Linked DNA regions of Arabidopsis thaliana. The protein of the gene in region 4 interacts with the protein of the main gene of each other region in a pairwise test. Each region holds a gene or a part of one and is shown on either strand. Other genes may lie near its edges. The genes, in order: AT5G47420, APC3, AT4G19865 and ATCHX1.

What was found.
Region 1: the proteins of ATCHX1 (region 4) and AT5G47420 interact in a protein complementation assay, tested with the Arabidopsis thaliana proteins (one large-scale study listed by BioGRID).
Region 2: the proteins of ATCHX1 (region 4) and APC3 interact in a protein complementation assay, tested with the Arabidopsis thaliana proteins (one large-scale study listed by BioGRID).
Region 3: the proteins of ATCHX1 (region 4) and AT4G19865 interact in a protein complementation assay, tested with the Arabidopsis thaliana proteins (one large-scale study listed by BioGRID).

Annotation. Positions count from the first base shown.
Region 1 is NC_003076.8:19,230,839-19,235,590, forward strand, and holds AT5G47420 (Tryptophan RNA-binding attenuator protein-like protein), read left to right. Parts: upstream 1-1,945; 5' UTR 1,946-2,174; coding exon 2,175-2,222; intron 2,223-2,444; coding exon 2,445-2,504; intron 2,505-2,599; coding exon 2,600-2,639; intron 2,640-2,724; coding exon 2,725-2,903; intron 2,904-3,009; coding exon 3,010-3,048; intron 3,049-3,151; coding exon 3,152-3,241; intron 3,242-3,350; coding exon 3,351-3,411; intron 3,412-3,498; coding exon 3,499-3,623; intron 3,624-3,714; coding exon 3,715-3,806; intron 3,807-3,885; coding exon 3,886-4,000; 3' UTR 4,001-4,228; downstream 4,229-4,752. Other genes in the region: AT5G47400 (sphingomyelin phosphodiesterase), read left to right, coding at 1-36, 159-305, 547-663, 1,137-1,748.
Region 2 is NC_003076.8:2,307,971-2,312,871, forward strand, and holds APC3 (Mitochondrial substrate carrier family protein), read left to right. Parts: upstream 1-1,892; 5' UTR 1,893-2,277; coding exon 2,278-2,674; intron 2,675-2,890; coding exon 2,891-3,664; intron 3,665-3,751; coding exon 3,752-3,842; intron 3,843-3,934; coding exon 3,935-4,112; 3' UTR 4,113-4,376; downstream 4,377-4,901. UniProt on the Arabidopsis thaliana protein: Calcium-dependent mitochondrial carrier protein that catalyzes the import of ATP co-transported with metal divalent cations across the mitochondrial inner membrane in exchange for phosphate (Pi).
Region 3 is NC_003075.7:10,780,343-10,784,110, forward strand, and holds AT4G19865 (Galactose oxidase/kelch repeat superfamily protein), read right to left. Parts: upstream 2,107-3,768; 5' UTR 2,024-2,106; coding exon 842-2,023; 3' UTR 550-841; downstream 1-549. Other genes in the region: AT4G19870 (Galactose oxidase/kelch repeat superfamily protein), read right to left, coding at 2,712-3,768.
Region 4 is NC_003070.9:5,597,856-5,603,090, forward strand, and holds ATCHX1 (Cation/hydrogen exchanger family protein), read right to left. Parts: upstream 3,513-5,235; coding exon 3,354-3,512; intron 3,026-3,353; coding exon 2,048-3,025; intron 1,959-2,047; coding exon 1,018-1,958; intron 878-1,017; coding exon 598-877; 3' UTR 556-597; downstream 1-555. Other genes in the region: OCT6 (organic cation/carnitine transporter 6), read left to right, coding at 1-472; OCT3 (organic cation/carnitine transporter 3), read left to right, coding at 5,066-5,235. UniProt on the Arabidopsis thaliana protein: May operate as a cation/H(+) antiporter.

The DNA.
Region 1 (4,752 bases), on a different chromosome or scaffold from region 4:
ACAGATCCAGAAATAATAACTCAGATGGCTCTTAAGGTTTGATCCCTGGCTTAAGCTATTTTCTCAAATTCATGAGTTTATCTGTAGAATATGGATTGCAAGACTTCTGTTTGAAATCTTAATGTGACTGAATGGTTCTACTGTGTCTCCCTAAATAGGTGATGAGTACGTTGACATCGTCAAAAGAGCTTTTGGTTCTGATGAAGAATATTGATAAAGCCTTTCACTCTAAACAAACTGGACCAGGAAACTCAAAAGTGAACGAATTGTCTAGATTTTCTCCATCTATCCGTGAGCAGTTGAAGGTATGCCTATATTTTTCCTCAACACCAGTTGTTATCTGTTCTCCGGTCATAGAACGCTTTTCCAGTGATTTTACTCTTATGTATCCGCCATCCTTTGTCTTCATACTTATTTAGCTTTTTCATCATAACACCCTTGGAAGTTTAACAAAAGACTGTAAAATCAATCTTTTTTTCACATAAGTCACATAAGTACTCAAACTCTATACTGAAAAATCATGTTTAACTGCTTGTGGAACTTCAGGATTGGGAAGATGGGTTGTGTGAGAGCAACGCTGATGGCTCATACTTGCATGAAAACTGGAACAAAGACTTGAAACTCTTTAGTGATGGTGAAGATGGCGGACAACAACTGCTTCAGGTTAATGTCTTCCTTTTATAACCTACTGTAGTGATAAGTTAGGAATAAAAAAATGGAAGATAATCTTTGTAGGATGATATCTTCAAATGTACTTAAAATAGCTCTATTATGGAATGATCTAGTTGACAAATATATAGATAAACCTTCAGATTTACTTGTTTGTTGTTTGTAGCCTTCTATCTATATTAACAGGAGAATTTGTTACTTGACAATTAGATGAGTACGCAGTCATCGGCAATGTTGTGAGCTATTAACTTGGGAATTTGTTTTTTGAGAAATTGTTCACGGAAATATACTTTGAGAACTAGTTCTCCTACATTTGTTTTTCAGTAACCTAGTTGTATCGCATGTTTTCTTGTTTCCGATACTCTACTTTAGTTTATACGACTCTTGAATCCTTTAGCTCATAGGGGGGGAGTGGAGCTTAAAACCTGTTTTACTTTGCTGAAGGCGTTTGTTCTTTGCATTTGCAGCTATTCATACTGCGGGCAGAAGCCGAACTGCAAACTGTATCCGATAAAAACCTCACAGAGGCCCTTAAGTGTGTAGATTCACTAAAATCAGCGGTTTCCAACTTCTTTGGCGGGCATGTCGTAAAACCAATCGCTTTTTTCCTAGAGCCGGACCATCCTCAGAAAAACCGTGACGAGCTCTTCAAGCCACGTGGTGCTGGTAACCAAACAGCAGGCGGTGTGAAGTACAAAGGGGACTGGATGACCCGTCCGGTGTCAGAAGACGAGGTTGCATTGATGGCTAAACTGCTAATCAACATGTCTATTTGGCTCAATGAACGCCTCGGGCTGAACAAATCTGAGACGAGCAACGACAAGAAAGAGAATTCAGAGTCAGTATCATATGTAGATGTATCAGGGGAAGATGTGGGAAACGTTGCAGGACCTGGAGATGCTGCGAAGATGCTGTTGCGAGGGATGGTGATGGTATGTGGCACAGTGTTGCAGCTGATGAGAAGATTCGGGATTCGAGTCAATCTTCGGGTTATGGCTTCAAAAAAGTTTCTGATGCTTTTATTTCTCTATGTCCTGTTTCTTGTAGTCAAAAGGGTAGTCACAAGGATGATTTGGTAGATGGGTGTCCAAAATGTGTTAAAAGTTGAAGAAGTAAAAGGAAATAGACACTCTAACTCGCGTAGAGCGTTTGATAGGAATTGGAAAGCTTATTTACGAAACAGGGACTGAGTTTTTTGGTAATTTACATGTTCGCATTACAAATTGAAGCGTGTCTTTACTTGTTACAACCAATGAGAATGGTCCACGTAATCAGTCTCCACGTGTCATCTGCCAATAAGATCCACCCATCAGCAAAATTCATCGGTCGTTCGTCGCTGACTATCACAATTCCGAACACCAAATTTCGAATTTCTGCCACTTGCTTTGTGATCTGATCGTTCGAAATTGACCGGAGAATTCTTCTGTGTTCTTAGATCTGTCGCGAATTTGTTAAAGCTCCTCAGAAGGTTTTGGTTACAGATCTTCTCTGTGGTCTTCACCACTATGGCCGCTCCGTTTTTTTCAACTCCATTTCAGCCTTATGTCTACCAGGTGTGCTTCTTCTCTCTTTGATCATTTCGCTTTCAAAATGATGAGGTCGTGTTCTTCTTAGTTGCAATTTGACTAAATTTGAGGTTCATTGTAAGTAGGATTTAGAGAAATTCCATCTTTGATTAGTTTAACTTAGCTGGGAGAACGCATAATCGGGCCAATTAGGGATTTTAGATCATGACATTGTTCTAGTGTTGTCTAATAAGTGGCCATTTGATGCAGAGTCAACAAGATACTATTACACCGTTCCAGATTTTGGGTGGTGAATCCCAAGTTGTTCAGGTACATTTGCTTTCTTAATATAGCGTGATCTTCGTATTTGTGGGTTATATGCCATATAATTTTAACTTCTCTAACCATTGCTCGTATGTTGGCAGATAATGTTAAAGTCAGAGGAGAAAGTCATTGCTAAGCCTGGTACTTCCACTGAATAACTCGCTTCTCTACTCAGTTTTGTATAATGGTTTCAAGTTTCAACTAATTTTGTGTTATGGTGATGTAGCTTCCATGTGCTACATGTCTGGCTCCATCGAGATGGAAAATACATACACTCCTGAACAAGAAGTTGGAGTTCTGCAGTGGATTTTGGGCAAGAGTGTAAGCAGTGTTGTTCTTCGGAATACTGGGCAAAACGACGGGTTTGTTGGTATTGCTGCACCTTATTTGGCTAGGATTCTCCCGGTTAGTGATTTTAGCTTGTCCATGTTGGCATAATCATCTTCCATTTCACCCTTAATGTATACCGCCTGATTCCTTGTTGTTTTTGTGATCTTTGTTTTCCATGTAGATTGATTTGGCAATGTTTGGAGGTGAGATCTTATGCCAGGTAGAGTCTTTTTTCCTAGATTTTGAACACTTAGCTATCAGCTTCTTCTTCACTCAGATCAAGCTCTTACAGAGTCGCCTGACCTTTTCTTCACTTTCTGTAGCCAGATGCATTCCTTTGTTCTGTCCATGATGTGAAGGTTGTCAACTCCGTTGACCAGAGAGCAAGAAACATTGTTGCCGCTGGTGCAGAGGTAAGAACTAAGAAGGAAAATACGTTGATTTGGTTTCTGATGCAATTATTATTCTTAACAAAATTCTGCAACCCGTTGTCTGGCTTCTACTCACAAATTGCTGTTGCAGGGATTTCTGAGACAACGCCTATCTGGACAAGGTCTTGCTTTCATCCTCGCAGGTGGCTCTGGTGAGATTTTATCCCAATGAAATGCTGTTTCCGTTGAGGCCTCATCCCCTTCAATAAAACTGACATTTAACATCCCAAACATGTTAGTTGTACAAAAAGTTCTGGAGGTAGGAGAAGTTTTCTCCATTGACGTTTCCTGTATTGCTGCTCTCACACCCTCTATCGATGTCCGAATCAAAAACAATGCTCCTTTTAGACGAGCACTATTCGGGGTACATTTTCACATATACTTTGTTTCAATGAGAAGAAGATTCAGGTTTTTGTTTTGTTTCTCAACTGTTTTAATCTTTCAACATTCAAAAGGGTGATAACGTAGTAATGGCGACTCTAACGGGGCCTGGCATTGTCTTCATTCAAAGCTTACCGTTTCATCGGCTCTCGCAGCGTATTGCAAGGTAAAGCAACCAACAATCCAAATCTCCATTTATGTTGCAAATATGTTTATATAAAGTGTGAATGGTTTTTCTGTGACAGGTCGGTAACGTCGCCAAACATGAGAGAGAATCCAAAATTGCTGATACAGATAGCTATATTTGCGTTCCTAGCATACGCTGTGATTTTGTCATCGTTGATCTTAACCGAAGTTTGAAAGCAGAGAGATAGAAAGAATTATCCGACCAACAAACTAACGTTGTAATTGTTCAAATTATCTCGGGTTTGGACTTTGGATGGATAGAGTGAAGATGAATTAGACACATCTCAAACCATTTTCTTTTCGTTTACTAGTGAGTTTAGGCACTTGTGTTATATTGATATTGCTCCTATATATTGAAAAGTGAAAACGTAGATACCGAGTTGAACAAAAATTGGATTCTTTACTTAAATCACACATCAATTTAAATTAATTAATTTGATTTTTTGTTTTGTTAAATAATTAATGTCTAATGATATTATTGATTAATTTTCATCGGATGGTTAAGAAATTGGATTAATTCAAAAAAAAAAATCTGGATTAATTCGTTACCAATGGATCATATAGTCAAGACTCAAGAGAATGTCTCAATGATATCATGGACTAATTTTCAGAAAATGGATTATAGCAGGAGTTAATAGTTTTCCAAAAACATTGAACTGTCAAAAACAGTAAACATGCTCAAGCAAAAATTCACAATTTTGAAAACAGCGAAATGTCATAGGTGTTAACACACGAATTTCAACAATATACAATACTCCGTTTTTTCCGTTTACTTTTTAAACTATTCGAATTACTCATGGATACGGATCTTACGATACGATGAATACATTTACGTTATAAGAAGTGACTACAACCATTCTTAAACATGTTTACGATTCGCACATAAGATCTCTCAAATCAGTGAAGCTAGACCAACAAGAATAAAT
Region 2 (4,901 bases), on a different chromosome or scaffold from region 4:
GTTTTGAAACTGAAAGACTCATTTTTCTTATCATCATATCAATTGAAATGATGGTTACGATGATAATGAATATCGTTATTATGAAATACTTTCCGACCAACGCGTTATCTCCTCTTTGTTGTCTTAAAAGTTTTGCTTATAGATTTTTCGTCTTTTATGCTTGTTTCTTCATTTTTTACATGCGTGTTAGATCATTAGCGTAAATGGTTAGTGCTTAAAACTTATTGGTATGCGAATCTCGGCCGCCGACAAATATTTGTACTTCAACTTCAAGACATTCGTGGAACTTCAAAAACAATCTTTCGTTTTTTCAAACAAACAAAATAATTTGAATTCGTTTCGCGAATGAGGCGCGTGTATGACACCTCTGTCTCTGTGACTATAGCGAAGCTAGGTTTACTTATGATGAAAAAAGTTCAGTTCAAAACCAGTTTTTTGTTAGTCGTGAAAGTCTATTAACCTGTTTTTCTTTATAAAATTTCCCAATATAGTATTAATATATGAAATTAACAAATCGTTGAATTGAAAACTTTTAACTATCAGTCAAAGATGAATATTAGCCTGAATATGTTAAGTGATCAATTAACTAATTAATTAGCTAGGCATATTAACTGTGGGATCTCCTCTGGGCTTTGGGCGGTTTGGATAAAGTAACATTTGTCGGGAAAACAGTGAACAAGTGCTACACAATTTTTCAAATGTAAAGACAAAAAGTTCCATTATGTTGCAAACACGAGACACAAATATTTATAATAGAAGAGTTGTTTGAACAAATTAAGACAGCCAGATTATCATATGTTTTAAAAAGAATTGTTATCGAAAAAACAAAACAAATTTTGTAGAAAGTTCATGTTCTTTCAACATGATACACAATTCCAAATACTCAAAAGTCTTTGATATTTCATATATAGATACGATTACGAATATGGACCGTAGCTAAGAAAACAGTTCAAATAACTAAACACAAATACAGCTATTATATAAAAATACATCCCGACAGAAAGAATATAGTTAAAAGAAAATCAAGAGATTAAAACGTTGACAAAGGAAGGGAAATTGGGGATGGCCGCACGCACGCCGGCCTCACCGCCCTGTCAACCTTTGCGGCCTTCTAAGCTATCGCAAATCTCAACCACTGCCTTTACCTTCTATTTCAAACTTATCGGCCCAAAGACGTATGAATACGTGCATGTATACCATATATACACAATATTAAATCATTTAAAATACGTATGTATGTTCACGTTCAGGGATGTTCAAATTGCACCGACTCACTCAGTTTGTAAATGTAACGCAGCCCAATTCTGTTTCACTAATAGTCTGGCCCATTTCACAATCATCCAAAGCGAGTTTTTAAAGGTGATTTCATGATTTGCTAGGTAGGTCAGATTCTTTTGAGATTTCACATTCCAGACAGTATAGAGCGAAGAGAAACTGCAAAATTGTACAAAGAATGGCAAAAAAAAAAAAAAAAGCGTTTTTGTGAAAAAAATCCGACCTGCCGGAATCGAACCAGCGACCTAAAGATTTGCTGTCACAGACTACAGTCTTCCGCTCTACCAACTGAGCTAAGGTCGGTTATTGATTACTAATACAAAGATTTGTTAATTAACCTAAGTAATCTTGGTAGTCATGTCCTCTAATTTCCAAACCGGAGACAAAACCGGTGAGAAGATCGCTACAAAAATTACCAATCTCTAACAAAATTATTTAAATTAAAAATCTCCATAAACTTATTTTTCCCTCTCTGTAATTTTGGATAGGTTTTTAATACGGTCAAACGCATTTTTTTTACTTCTACTAATCAAGCACATTTGACCATTTCCGGTTTTGGTTCAAACCGGAAAACGCACGATTTCAATTTGACTGATTCGCACGTGTCGTGTGGGAATAGCACGTGGAGAATAGCAAAAGGTCAGGGGGAGGGAAGATAGAGAGATATGTTACCGTCACTTGCGGTTGACAGATGACGGAGCCGGATTTTCCTTCACCGGCCATCCATCGTTTATAGCCACTGACCCACAACAACACCATTAACCCTTTTTGCTTCTGACTCCAATAGTGAAGTAAATTTCCAAACTTTTGTGTTTCTTCTTCGACGTGAAGACTCTTTCGGTGGTGTGTTGTGTTGTGACTTGTGAGGTCTTCTTTCTCAAAACCCAGGACTCACTCTCTGTATAATAAATACGCAAGAAGATGAATGATCCTTAGAATCATTCAATTCTCTTGTAAAGCATTCTAATTTGGGGCAATCTCGATATTGATCGCGAATCAGCAATGGAGTCATCGAAGCCCAAAAACCGTAACCCGATGAAGAAACCTGTATCCATCACGATGGAGCATGTTCTATTGGCGTTACGTGAGACAATGGATGAGAGAGAGATCAGGATTCGTAGTTTGTTTGATTTCTTTGATAATTCGAATTTAGGGTTCTTAGATTATGCCCAGATCGAAAAGGGTCTTGCTTCGCTTCAGATTCCTCCTGAGTACAAGTACGCTAGAGATTTGTTTAGAGTCTGCGACGCTAATCGAGATGGGCGTGTTGATTACCAGGAGTTTCGTCGATACATTGATGCTAAGGAGCTTGAGCTATACAGGATTTTCCAAGCCATTGATGTTGAGCATAATGGCTGCATTTTGCCTGAGGAGCTTTGGGAGGCTCTTGTTAAGGCCGGTATGTTACTGTTCCATTTATACTGTTACTTTTTGCTATTGATCATCATGTAAAGTTTGTACCTTTATGAGAGATTTGTGGATTTTGATTGTTTATGGTGAAGTTGCTATATTGGCATTGTGTTGAGATGTTAGAACGTGTTTGATTGTTTATGTTATTTCATTGGATTGTTGAGTATCACCAACCTATATAAGCCCTACAGTTTTGTTCTTGTAGGCATTGAGATCGATGATGAGGAACTCGCTCGTTTTGTGGAGCATGTTGATAAGGACAACAATGGAACTATAACGTTTGAAGAGTGGAGAGATTTTCTTTTGTTATATCCTCATGAAGCCACCCTTGAAAACATATATCATCATTGGGAAAGGGTGTGCTTGATAGATATTGGGGAGCAAGCTGTTATACCGGATGGTATAAGTAAACATGTGAAAAGAAGCAGATTACTTCTCGCTGGAGGACTAGCCGGAGCTGTTTCTAGAACTGCAACTGCGCCTCTTGATCGTCTGAAGGTTGTTTTGCAAGTTCAAAGGGCACATGCAGGGGTCCTCCCGACAATTAAGAAGATATGGAGAGAAGATAAGTTGATGGGTTTCTTTAGAGGTAATGGGTTAAATGTCATGAAGGTTGCTCCTGAAAGTGCCATTAAGTTTTGTGCTTACGAAATGCTAAAACCCATGATTGGAGGGGAGGATGGTGATATTGGTACAAGTGGGAGACTTATGGCAGGTGGAATGGCTGGTGCATTGGCTCAAACCGCTATTTACCCTATGGATCTCGTGAAGACTCGGTTACAGACTTGTGTCAGTGAAGGTGGAAAGGCACCTAAGTTGTGGAAGCTTACAAAAGATATATGGGTTCGGGAGGGACCTCGGGCTTTCTACAAGGGTCTGTTTCCTTCTCTTCTTGGGATTGTTCCTTATGCAGGAATTGACCTCGCTGCATATGAAACGCTAAAAGACTTGTCCAGAACATATATTCTTCAGGACACTGGTTAGAGCATCAAAACCTTAAATCCTTATTCTTATTTGCATATCATTGTTCTGTGATATGATACTAAAATAGCTTAAAATTCTGCAGAGCCGGGTCCTCTGATACAGCTGAGCTGTGGAATGACATCAGGAGCCCTTGGAGCATCATGTGTTTACCCGTTACAGGTAGTAAGAACAAGGTAAAAACCCGAAATTCCGAAAACTTGTAACCGATTTTTTTTAATGTCTTGTCTGCGATTGTAAAAAACAAGTTTGATCCTTGTCATGTCAGAATGCAAGCGGATAGTTCGAAGACGACAATGAAGCAAGAGTTTATGAATACGATGAAAGGAGAAGGTCTTAGAGGTTTCTACAGAGGACTATTACCCAATCTTCTCAAAGTAGTTCCAGCGGCAAGCATCACGTACATTGTTTATGAAGCTATGAAGAAAAATATGGCTCTTGATTAGCCAATACGGTCTTGAAATTTTCTCCGAGTTAGTTTATTCTTTTTTGTTCCCAAGGGGTCACTCTCTCTAGGTTATGTGAGAAATTCAAAAACAAGACAGAGATTGTAACATGTCTTCGTTGATGTGTTCAAGATCAAGACTCAAGTCTGTAAACTCACATCTCCAAAAAAGATTTTGAATGGTTAAGTCATGAACTCACATCTCCAAAAATGATTTTGAATGGTTACATCATTAAAGATATCTATCAACTAATTTTTTTAAAAAGGTCTTACTGCATTTTATAAATAATAAATGAATTTTTATATAAATCGTGATCAGTTGTAAGTCACTTTTCTAATATTTTAAAGTGTATAGCCTATTTAAGTATATGATCTGATTTAATTAAATGGAAAACAAAATATTAAAAGTATATTCTTGAAATTGGGACATATATTTTTATGGTGATAAAATTTAATTATAGATTTGTAATTTGATGGAAATTTTTTTGATAAATAGTTATCAGCAATATAATAAAGTTAACACTCTTATAACAACTTAACAAAAAAAACACTCTTATAACAAAAAAGAAGAAGTTATCAGCAATATATTTATACTGTTTTCGTTGACTTAAAAATATAACTTATAACACACCTATGATTTATATATCTCAATTATTGTTTTGTTGCGATCATTGATATTCTTTTTTAGACTATGTTTCAGAATGATGACAACAATGTTATACCTAGACATATATAGTTTTAAATGTTGTTTTCAGCTTTAACCTATATTTATTTTAAAAATCAGCGAGCT
Region 3 (3,768 bases), on a different chromosome or scaffold from region 4:
AAGGATTGAAGAAAAAGAGGTGAACAATAAAAGAAATTTTTGGAATATAAGCCGTACAAGTCAAGGTGGCAGAAAAATAATTGTCATAGTGATGGATCCATCTTCAAATGGATAACGCAAGAGTGACAATTGAATTATTGAGACATAAAAAGCAATAATATAAAATATTATTTAACTCTAAAGTTTCGAGATACTTCAATACTTGGAATTATTTATAGACATGGGCACATTATTTTAGATTAAAACCAAGTTGTAATTTCTTTTACCAATTTGTTCTCTACCTTTTGTTTTTCTCATTACAGAAGCCCATACTCCAAACAGAACTCAGCATCTCTTTTATTGATGACGAATTGACGATGGTTATAACTTTCTGAAGGACATAACTCAACTCAAGTGTGAAAGATTTTATCATTGGTGCGATTCTCATTTAGAGGAGAGAATTGTGTCGACCATGAGGCGAAGAGAAATCAATGTTTTTGTTCGTGAAGGATGACCCAGAAAGGGTTAATCCAAAAGATCATACCTACGGATTTTTAGTTTTGCAAGCCATCCCTACTTGTTAGTAAAGAAAGACTCAATTCATAGCATGATAACTCAAACAACAAATCAGATTCATTAATAACAAGGGATTAGACAAACACTAATATGCCATAGTAGCTAGTTTGACAAAATGTGCCTCTTAACCTTAACTAATTAATCTCATACACTTTGTTGCTCTCCTCTTGCCTCTGATTCCTTCTCCTCTATCCAACTGGTCAACAATCCATCGTTCATACTATGTTATACTACAGTTAGATCCTACAAACTGATTTTGAACTGATCATACCTGAATACAAGTCAATCAAACCGAGACAACGAGACAATGCAAGAGCTGACATGATATGGGGACAGTATACAAAACATCAACACTCTCAACAATTCCCCAAACTCCACCTCCATCACACTTCTCTATCGCGATCACCGCACACCAAATCTTCTTCCTATTATTGGGGTTATGCTTCATATATCCTTCCCATAAAAGTAAGAGTTTCCCACCACATGCAACTAGTTTAGTCGTATTACCACTTGAGCCACCATTCCTCATGTACTTATCATCTAGTGACTCTAACCCTTCCAATCTTTTCCAATAATCCTTTTGTATGTCATTGTCATACCACAACAAGCGCATGTTCCAGAAGCCATATGAAACATTCTCAATCATACATTCTGACCTCAAAGCTGCACTTTTGTTTACACAATACTCCCATTTACATAGCTTCGTGTCGTAAGCACACATCTCGTTTACATTTCCAAACTCAATCTTTCCTTCAATCACTCCGCTTCTGTCAATGGAACACTTACGTACCTCACTACCCGGCTCAGGGAGGCCTTCCCAAGTCTGAGTCTTTGTATTGAACACCTCAGCCCATGGTTCGTCCTTTAATCCTTGGCAACCTCCCATTACGTAAATTTTCCCATCGTGGAAACATGCCCAGGCATTCATTCGGGATACATTCATGCTCGGTGCATCGCGCCAAGTGTGACTGCAACAATCAAGCACCCGCACGGCGGAGTCGACTGGACCGCCAAGTACATAAATCTCAGAACCAACTACAACGGTGGCTTTTGATACTGATGTAAACTTAGACGAGGTAAGCGGAACTAACATTTGTCCAGTTGTCTTCTTCTTCTTCCTTCTCTTCTTAATGATGGAGTTGGCTAGGGTTCGGTTAGGGTTAACTAAGAGTCTAAGCCATTGGGGAAATTGATAACTGGGATCCCATAGACAGAGATAGACACACTGTTCAGTGCTTCCGAGGTGAGATCTGGTTGCGTAGAGCTCCGTGGAAGAGAGAATTGAGCGGAAGCTTTTCGAAACGAGTGAGAGCGTTGGGTAGTACAATCTTGAGATCCGAGCTAAGCAGTGCACGACGATTTCTTCTGGAAGTAGAGAAAGCGACGGAGATGACGACGACGGAGGTGAATGTGGTGGAGACGAGTTCTTAGTCTTCTTCTTCTCCGGTGGTTCCACTTGAAAGTTCATAGCCACTGTGATTACAATCAGCGGCAGTGACGGGATCTTGACTAAAATGGGTCAAATGAGAAAATATGAAGAGGACCAAAAAAAAAAAAAAGAGGACCTCTTTGGTATATAACAAAATAACCCTAGTGTTTTTTGTTTTACCAATGTGTTCCCTACTTTTGTTTTCGATCACAGAAGTCCCTTAATATGTAGATACTTCTAACCAACATTGTTTTTAACCGTGGAGATTGCAAACTGTAACATATTAAACAGAATTTGTTTCTTTTCTCAAAACAAAGAATTCATGATGAAGTTACAATGTTAAAACAAAGTTTGAAAGATGTTAAAGACACAACTCATGAGGAGGATATTTCTAACAAACTGAAGTCAGAAGTCACGAAACTCTACACAAAGTTTGAAAGATGGTTAGATCATCTACATGAGAAGACACTGTGTTGATCATGAGGCGAAAGGTAATCCATGTTGCACTCCTTTTTGCCTTTGCTTCCTTCTCCTCTTTCCAACTGGTCAACAATCCATTCATATATATATAATGTTATACATACTAACATCATATATGTACAGGGAAAAAAAAAAGAAGCATGAACTTTTTATAAAACTAAATGAACTCAAATTAACTAAGACAAGGGATCCAAAGATGGAGTTAAGGACTGACATACCTGGATACAACTTGTATCATACAAGTTAATCAAACCGAGACAACGAGACAATGCAAGAGCTTGCATGATGTGGGGACGATATGCACAACATCAACCCACTCAACAATTCCCCAAACCTTACCTCCATCACGCTTTTCTAACGCGATAACCGCGCACCAAATCTTCTTCCTATTATTGGGATTATGCTTCATGTACCCTTCCCATAAAAGTAAGAGTTTCCCACCACAGGCAACTAGTTTAGTCGTATTATCACTTGAGCCACCATTCCTCTTGTGTATCTCTAATAGTGACTCCAACCCTTTTACCTTTTCCCCATATCCATCCGTTGACCACCACTTGCACCCGTAGTCGTCCTCCCAAGTGTAGTTATTAGCAAAGGTGTACAATACACTCTCCATCACACATTGGGACCTCGGAAATGCAACCTCGCCTTCACAGCATTCCCATTCACCTTGCTTTGGGTCATAAGCATACGTTTTTTGTGTATACCCAAAGTGAATCTTTCCTTCGATCTCTGCTATTCTGTAAATGGTACAGTTACGTATCTCAGTACCCGGATCAGAAAGGCATTCCCAAGTCTGAGTCTTTATATCGAATACCTCAGCCCATGGTTCGCTTTCTGATAATTTGTTGTACCCTCCAATTACGTAAATTTTCCCATCGTAGAGACATATGAAAGGCCTCTTTCGGGCTACGGTCATGCTAGGAGCATCGCGCCAAGTGTTACTGCGACAATCGAGGATTCGCACGGCCGAAGACAGTGCACCATCGACTTTTCCGCCGATCACATATATTTCAGAACCAACAGCTATGGCGGATTTTGATACAGGAGAAAGATTAGAAGAGGGAATTGGAACCAACAACTTTCCAATTGTCTTCTTCTTCTTCCTCTTCTTCTCAACCATGGAGTTGGCTTGATTAGGGTTAACCCAGAGTGTAAACCATTTGGGAAATTCAAAACTTTTATCAGATAGACAGACATAGACACACTCTTCGGTGTTTCGGAGGTGAGATCTGGCTACATAGAGCTCGGTGGATGAGATAATTGAACGGAAGCTTTTCGAAACGATTGAGAGTGTTGGATAG
Region 4 (5,235 bases):
GGAGTTGCCTACTTTTGTTATCACTCCGATCTTATTGGAGAGATTCAACAGAAGAAGCTCTGTTCTTGTGAATACCTTACTCGGTGGGGCATCAGGGGTGCTCTGTTTCGTTCTCAGCATTCTCGGCAAAACAGAGATCGCGTTTGCCTTCGAACTCGGAACATTCTTCTGCGCTAGAATCGGATTTAACCTTATGGCAGTTTTTATGGTTGAAATGTTTCCAACTTGTGTGAGAAGCTCGGCAACAATGATGTTTAGACAGGCTCTTGTCGTTGGAGGAGCTTGTTGTCCGCTAATTGCTTCGATTGGAAGATACATACCCTCAGTATCGTTTGCGATTTTTGGAATTGCAATGTCTGGTTTAGGAATGTTCGTTTTGATTCTGCCTGAGACAAAAGGTTTGAGTCTCTGCGATTCGATGGAAGAACAAGAAAAGAGAGATCAAGCCGTAAATACCAGCCATGTTTGCTGAGAGTTTAAGAGTTTGTTTAGCTCAAACATTCTCCATTTTCATATGTTTTCTATTATGTGATGTTTGTCTTGATTTTAAGAGTAAACTATTTTAAGTTGTGTCAAGTAAAAACTAAAGAGTATTTGCTATTCATCTACAAAGCTATCAAATGAGTTTCTATGTCTTTGAACTACTAATACAGAAGCATTTACATCCATATTTGATGAAGCCAAGAAATCTCCGACCGTTCCTAATTCCGGACACTCTTCCCAATCATTCATTCCTGAAGTCATTGGACAATCTCCTCTGTTTTTTCCTACCACAAACAGTGAATACATCTCCCCGATCTCTCTTAGAATTGTCAGCGTCTGCATTCCGTTGCTCACTCGCTTCTCTATGAATCCAACTTGCCCCGTCGTCACAAATCTGTCAAGACAAATAAAAACCATCTCTATAAATGAAAAAACAGAGTAACGGAAACAGAGTATGTGTGTAGGAACATAGAAACAGAGTACTAGTCATGCCAAAAACAGAGTATTTGCAGGAGCAGAGTATTTGTAAGGTACCTGTGATAGAATTCTTCTAAGAAGATTCGATCTGTTTCGTTTTCGGTTTGATCTTCACTAACAATCTCCAAGAATACTTCGTTGTTTTCCTTGGTCACCGCGTCTCCGACAATTTTCTCTGTCTTTGAGTCATCCGCCACAAACTGTATGACAGTGAGGTGAATCTGAGAGTTATTGGTAAGCCACTTGCACAAGGACAGAGCCTCACGATCATCAGGACCACCGAAGAACAATGCAGCAACGTGTTGTACCGAATCAGACCCGTGAAGCTGGTGAAACCCTGTTATGTTTCTATCCACAAAGATACCAATCGAACATTGAGCTTGCTTTAGAACCTTCCGGTTCATATGTCGAAAAACTTCCCCGTCATTCGTGGTTTTCCCGTCGATCCTCTGGTGTTTATGGAAAGGTAGAAACACGATCGATACACGAAGATCTTCAGTGGCGTTACAGATCTCTTCGTGCATATTCTCCATCGGCGCCACAAGTTTCACCTGCCGGACCATTATTTTTCTGTCTCTAGTAAACGAATCGATCGAGTCATTGATCTCTAGTCCTTCATTAGTCCCGAACTCATCGTCTCCGCCGTTGGAATTTCCTGCATCTTCGTCTAATTCGTGGTACAACAATTCAGTTTTCCGCTTCTTCGGGAGCGGTATGAGGTGCATAAGGTAAGGCGTGAACGGCGAAGAAGAAGTTCCAGGAGAAAAGCCACTTAGAGCAGAGACTAAAGAGATCGATCCACGAGCATGACGAACGCCATAGACGCACGTCAACACTCGTAGCTCCTCGGTAGTGTCAAATAACTCAAGTGATGTTTTTATATGTGCGAAACTCTTTTCTTGACTTCTAAGCAACAAAGATGTTATAACTCCGCTTAACAAAGTCATGATCACTAGAGCCGCAACGAACATATCATGAACTACCGGAGTAAACCATTTCTACAAAGAGAAAATCAATAACACGGAGATGAAGATTATCAACCGACTTGAAACCTAAATTAACGAGAAGTCGTAATTTGTTGTAATACCTTGTACATCAAGTTAGAGTCGAGAAGAACAAGACCTATATGACCTTTGACGGAAAGCATGGTTGACAAGAAAAGCCAATACTGCTTTGGGATCTTCAAGAATGAACAAGCGAATAAAACTCCTAGAAGCTTCCCCAGTAGGCTTAAAGCCACAGTCATACCAAGGACGAGGTAGTGGCGTTTGGTTAACGAATTGACGCTGAATCTAAATCCGATGTAACCAAAGTAAACCGGAAGGACAAACTCGTGAATCGGGTAACTCAACCGTTGGATCAACGTTCTGTAAGTTTTTCCTTCTCTTGGAAACATTAATCCGATGATAAACACAAAAAGCGTTGAGTTTAAGTTGCTGGATTCGATGGTTAACGCGATGATTAGAATAAGGATGATGAAAGCAAGCGTTTCAGCTTTGGAGAGATATTTCTCTTTAGGGTTTCTTTTTGGGAGCCATGAAGCTAAGAATCTATTAGTCAAGATTATAACTCCTGTGGCAAATGAGTAGATAAAAATATCAGCAGTCATAGTCCCGGAGATGAAAGAAAGGACGATAGTGTAGATAAATATGTTGGTTATCTCTATGAACAATCCGCATGAGATTGCTAGCCGTCCGATCTCAGATGTGTGCAGTTTCCAATCGATGATCGAACGGATGACGACAGGAGCTGCCGTGTTGGACAAGGTAATGAGGAAGGCTAAGTAAAATGTTAAGAAATCGCCTTTGATCTGCATGAAACGGATGAGAAACCAGAGGAAAGGGAGCCAGATGATGCCAGAAATGACTAAGGAGCCCAAAGTTATGACAATGGAGTTCTTCAAGTTTCGTTTCATGAAGTCAAGATCGATCTCGAGACCGATCAAGAACACAAAGGCTGTTCGTAAAAGGAATGAGAAAAAGATGTAATAGCTTGCTGAATCTTTCTGGAGGAAAAATTCGTGGACTTTGCGGATTATTGTGAGCAAACTCAACACAATCCCAGCCTGAGCAAAAATGATTAAAACGTCAGTTTTTTCTGAATGTTATAATATGTCAATTTTCCTGAAACGAAACCTTATTAACATTCTTGCACAACAGGCTACTCTTAGGGTTTAAGTGCACACTCGTAAAGTTCAGGGAGTAAATTTTGTAAAAAAAATAGAAATCATGGATACTATAATAAAACGTCAATTTATGAGTACTATAATAACGATTTTGTGCATGAATTTTACTTGGGTTTGGGTTTCACTATCATAGAGTTTAGGAGTCAAATTGCGAAAACTTTAAAACAAAAAAAAAAGTGTTTAGAAAGTATTTTTTAACAAAACTTACGAGAATCTGGGCAACGGGACCGGCTTGGCCACAGGGTTTTAGGAATAGGTAGAAGAATTGAGAGAAGACGAGAATGCAAGCCATTTGAATAAACATTGTATTGAGTGGATTAAACAATGCATCTCCTTCTGGCAAACAAAACAACATCTTTGGATCCATTTTCTTGATTCGATTTTGAGCATTCTTCAAAGTTCAATGCGGGAAAAATAAAATGTGAAAGAAACTTCAATTTCTCCTAAAAAGAAGAATATATATTTTTCAGGTTTTTTAAGTATTAATTTATCTTGGTTGGAGTTTAAGGGGTTTACATTTACCTGATTATCCTTCGATTACTCCATGCCTCTGTTTTACGCCATTTATTTTTCTTGTCGACACATTTAATTTTCCCCATTAAAAGCGGATATACTTACTATAATCGGAAAATGCATGAATTATTGGAGTAGGTTTAAAGGAGTAAGTTTTTGTTTTTGTAAGATAATAGAAAAGTGTCGATTTCAGCAAGAAAACTATGTAGACTTAATATTTTCAAAAGTATTAATTAACATTGCATCCAACGGAAAAAAAAAAAAAAGCAATAATTTTTTGTCAAGGAAAAAGTATAGCTTTTATGTATGTAAAATTGTATTGTACTAAATGTATGAATTAAATTAACAGGTATACGTCAAATTATCATTACAACTTGTATCTAATTGTTACTTCAAAATTTTCTATTATACCTTTTGAAAATGTTATATTCATATTCTTATGATGAAATGAATTTATATTATGCCGCATAAAAATATCAAATATACTGATATAACCTGCATGAAAAAGAGAGCATCCATCTAAATGTTTTATTAGACTTTCAGTGACATTCCAGTGTTTTGTATCAAACAAAACTATGCCTCCACAAATTTGTATATTTTATTTAAGTTCTCTTGCATGCATAAGGCTACGTACAAGCTTCCAAATGACCAAAGACATTCGAATTAAAGACATCTCCCATGCCCTGGAAAGCAATTACGCTTATCTTGTCCAACTGCAACAACCAGTGCAACTTGATCATTATTGAAACAGATTTATTATAGCGTTTTACAGCATCTATTGATTGTAATTTTGTACTTATCTTACAATAAGATATATATAAATATATTTTTTTCCTCACAATAAGATTCAATCTAAGAATATGAATTTATTGACGAAGATGTAAAATAAATGAAACTGGCTTTTTTTATGAAGATGTATATCAAGAAATGATAATAATTCATAGAAGAAAAAATGATAATTATAAAGAAGTAGACCCTAAAATAAATAGTTAACCCCAAAGTGGTTGAGTGGGGGATCACATGCAGCAAATTAACGGCGGTGGGGAAGAAGGTCTGAGAAATTAACCAAGAGATGGCTCATCCTCAGCCATTCACTTAGCCATCGAGAGATCTCAAACCCATTAATCATTTAACTTACTGAACATATCTAATAAATGTGTGTTTATATATGTAATGAGTTAGACGCCAAAAATAAATTATAGACTAGAGACATGTCCTGCTAGCTGGATCCTAGTCATCACGGTCTCACGAGCAGTATTGCATCCAATTTTCGATCACAATATTTACAAAAAATTCCCACCACTCTAAAGTTGTAGTTTATTCTCTATATATAGAGTAACATAAATTGATTGGACATGCAAATCAAGTCAAACATAAAAGTAAACAAAACCCTATCTCTTCCTATATATGGCCGACTCGACTCGGCCGCTTCTCTCAGATTTCAACTCGTCCGAGTCAAATCTTCCGCCACCAAGATCCCTTGAGGAGACGATAGAGCGATGCATTGGAGACTTCGGGTGGGCACAGTTTCTCCAAGCCGCTTTAGTCTCATTCGCTTGGTTCTTCGACGCTCAACA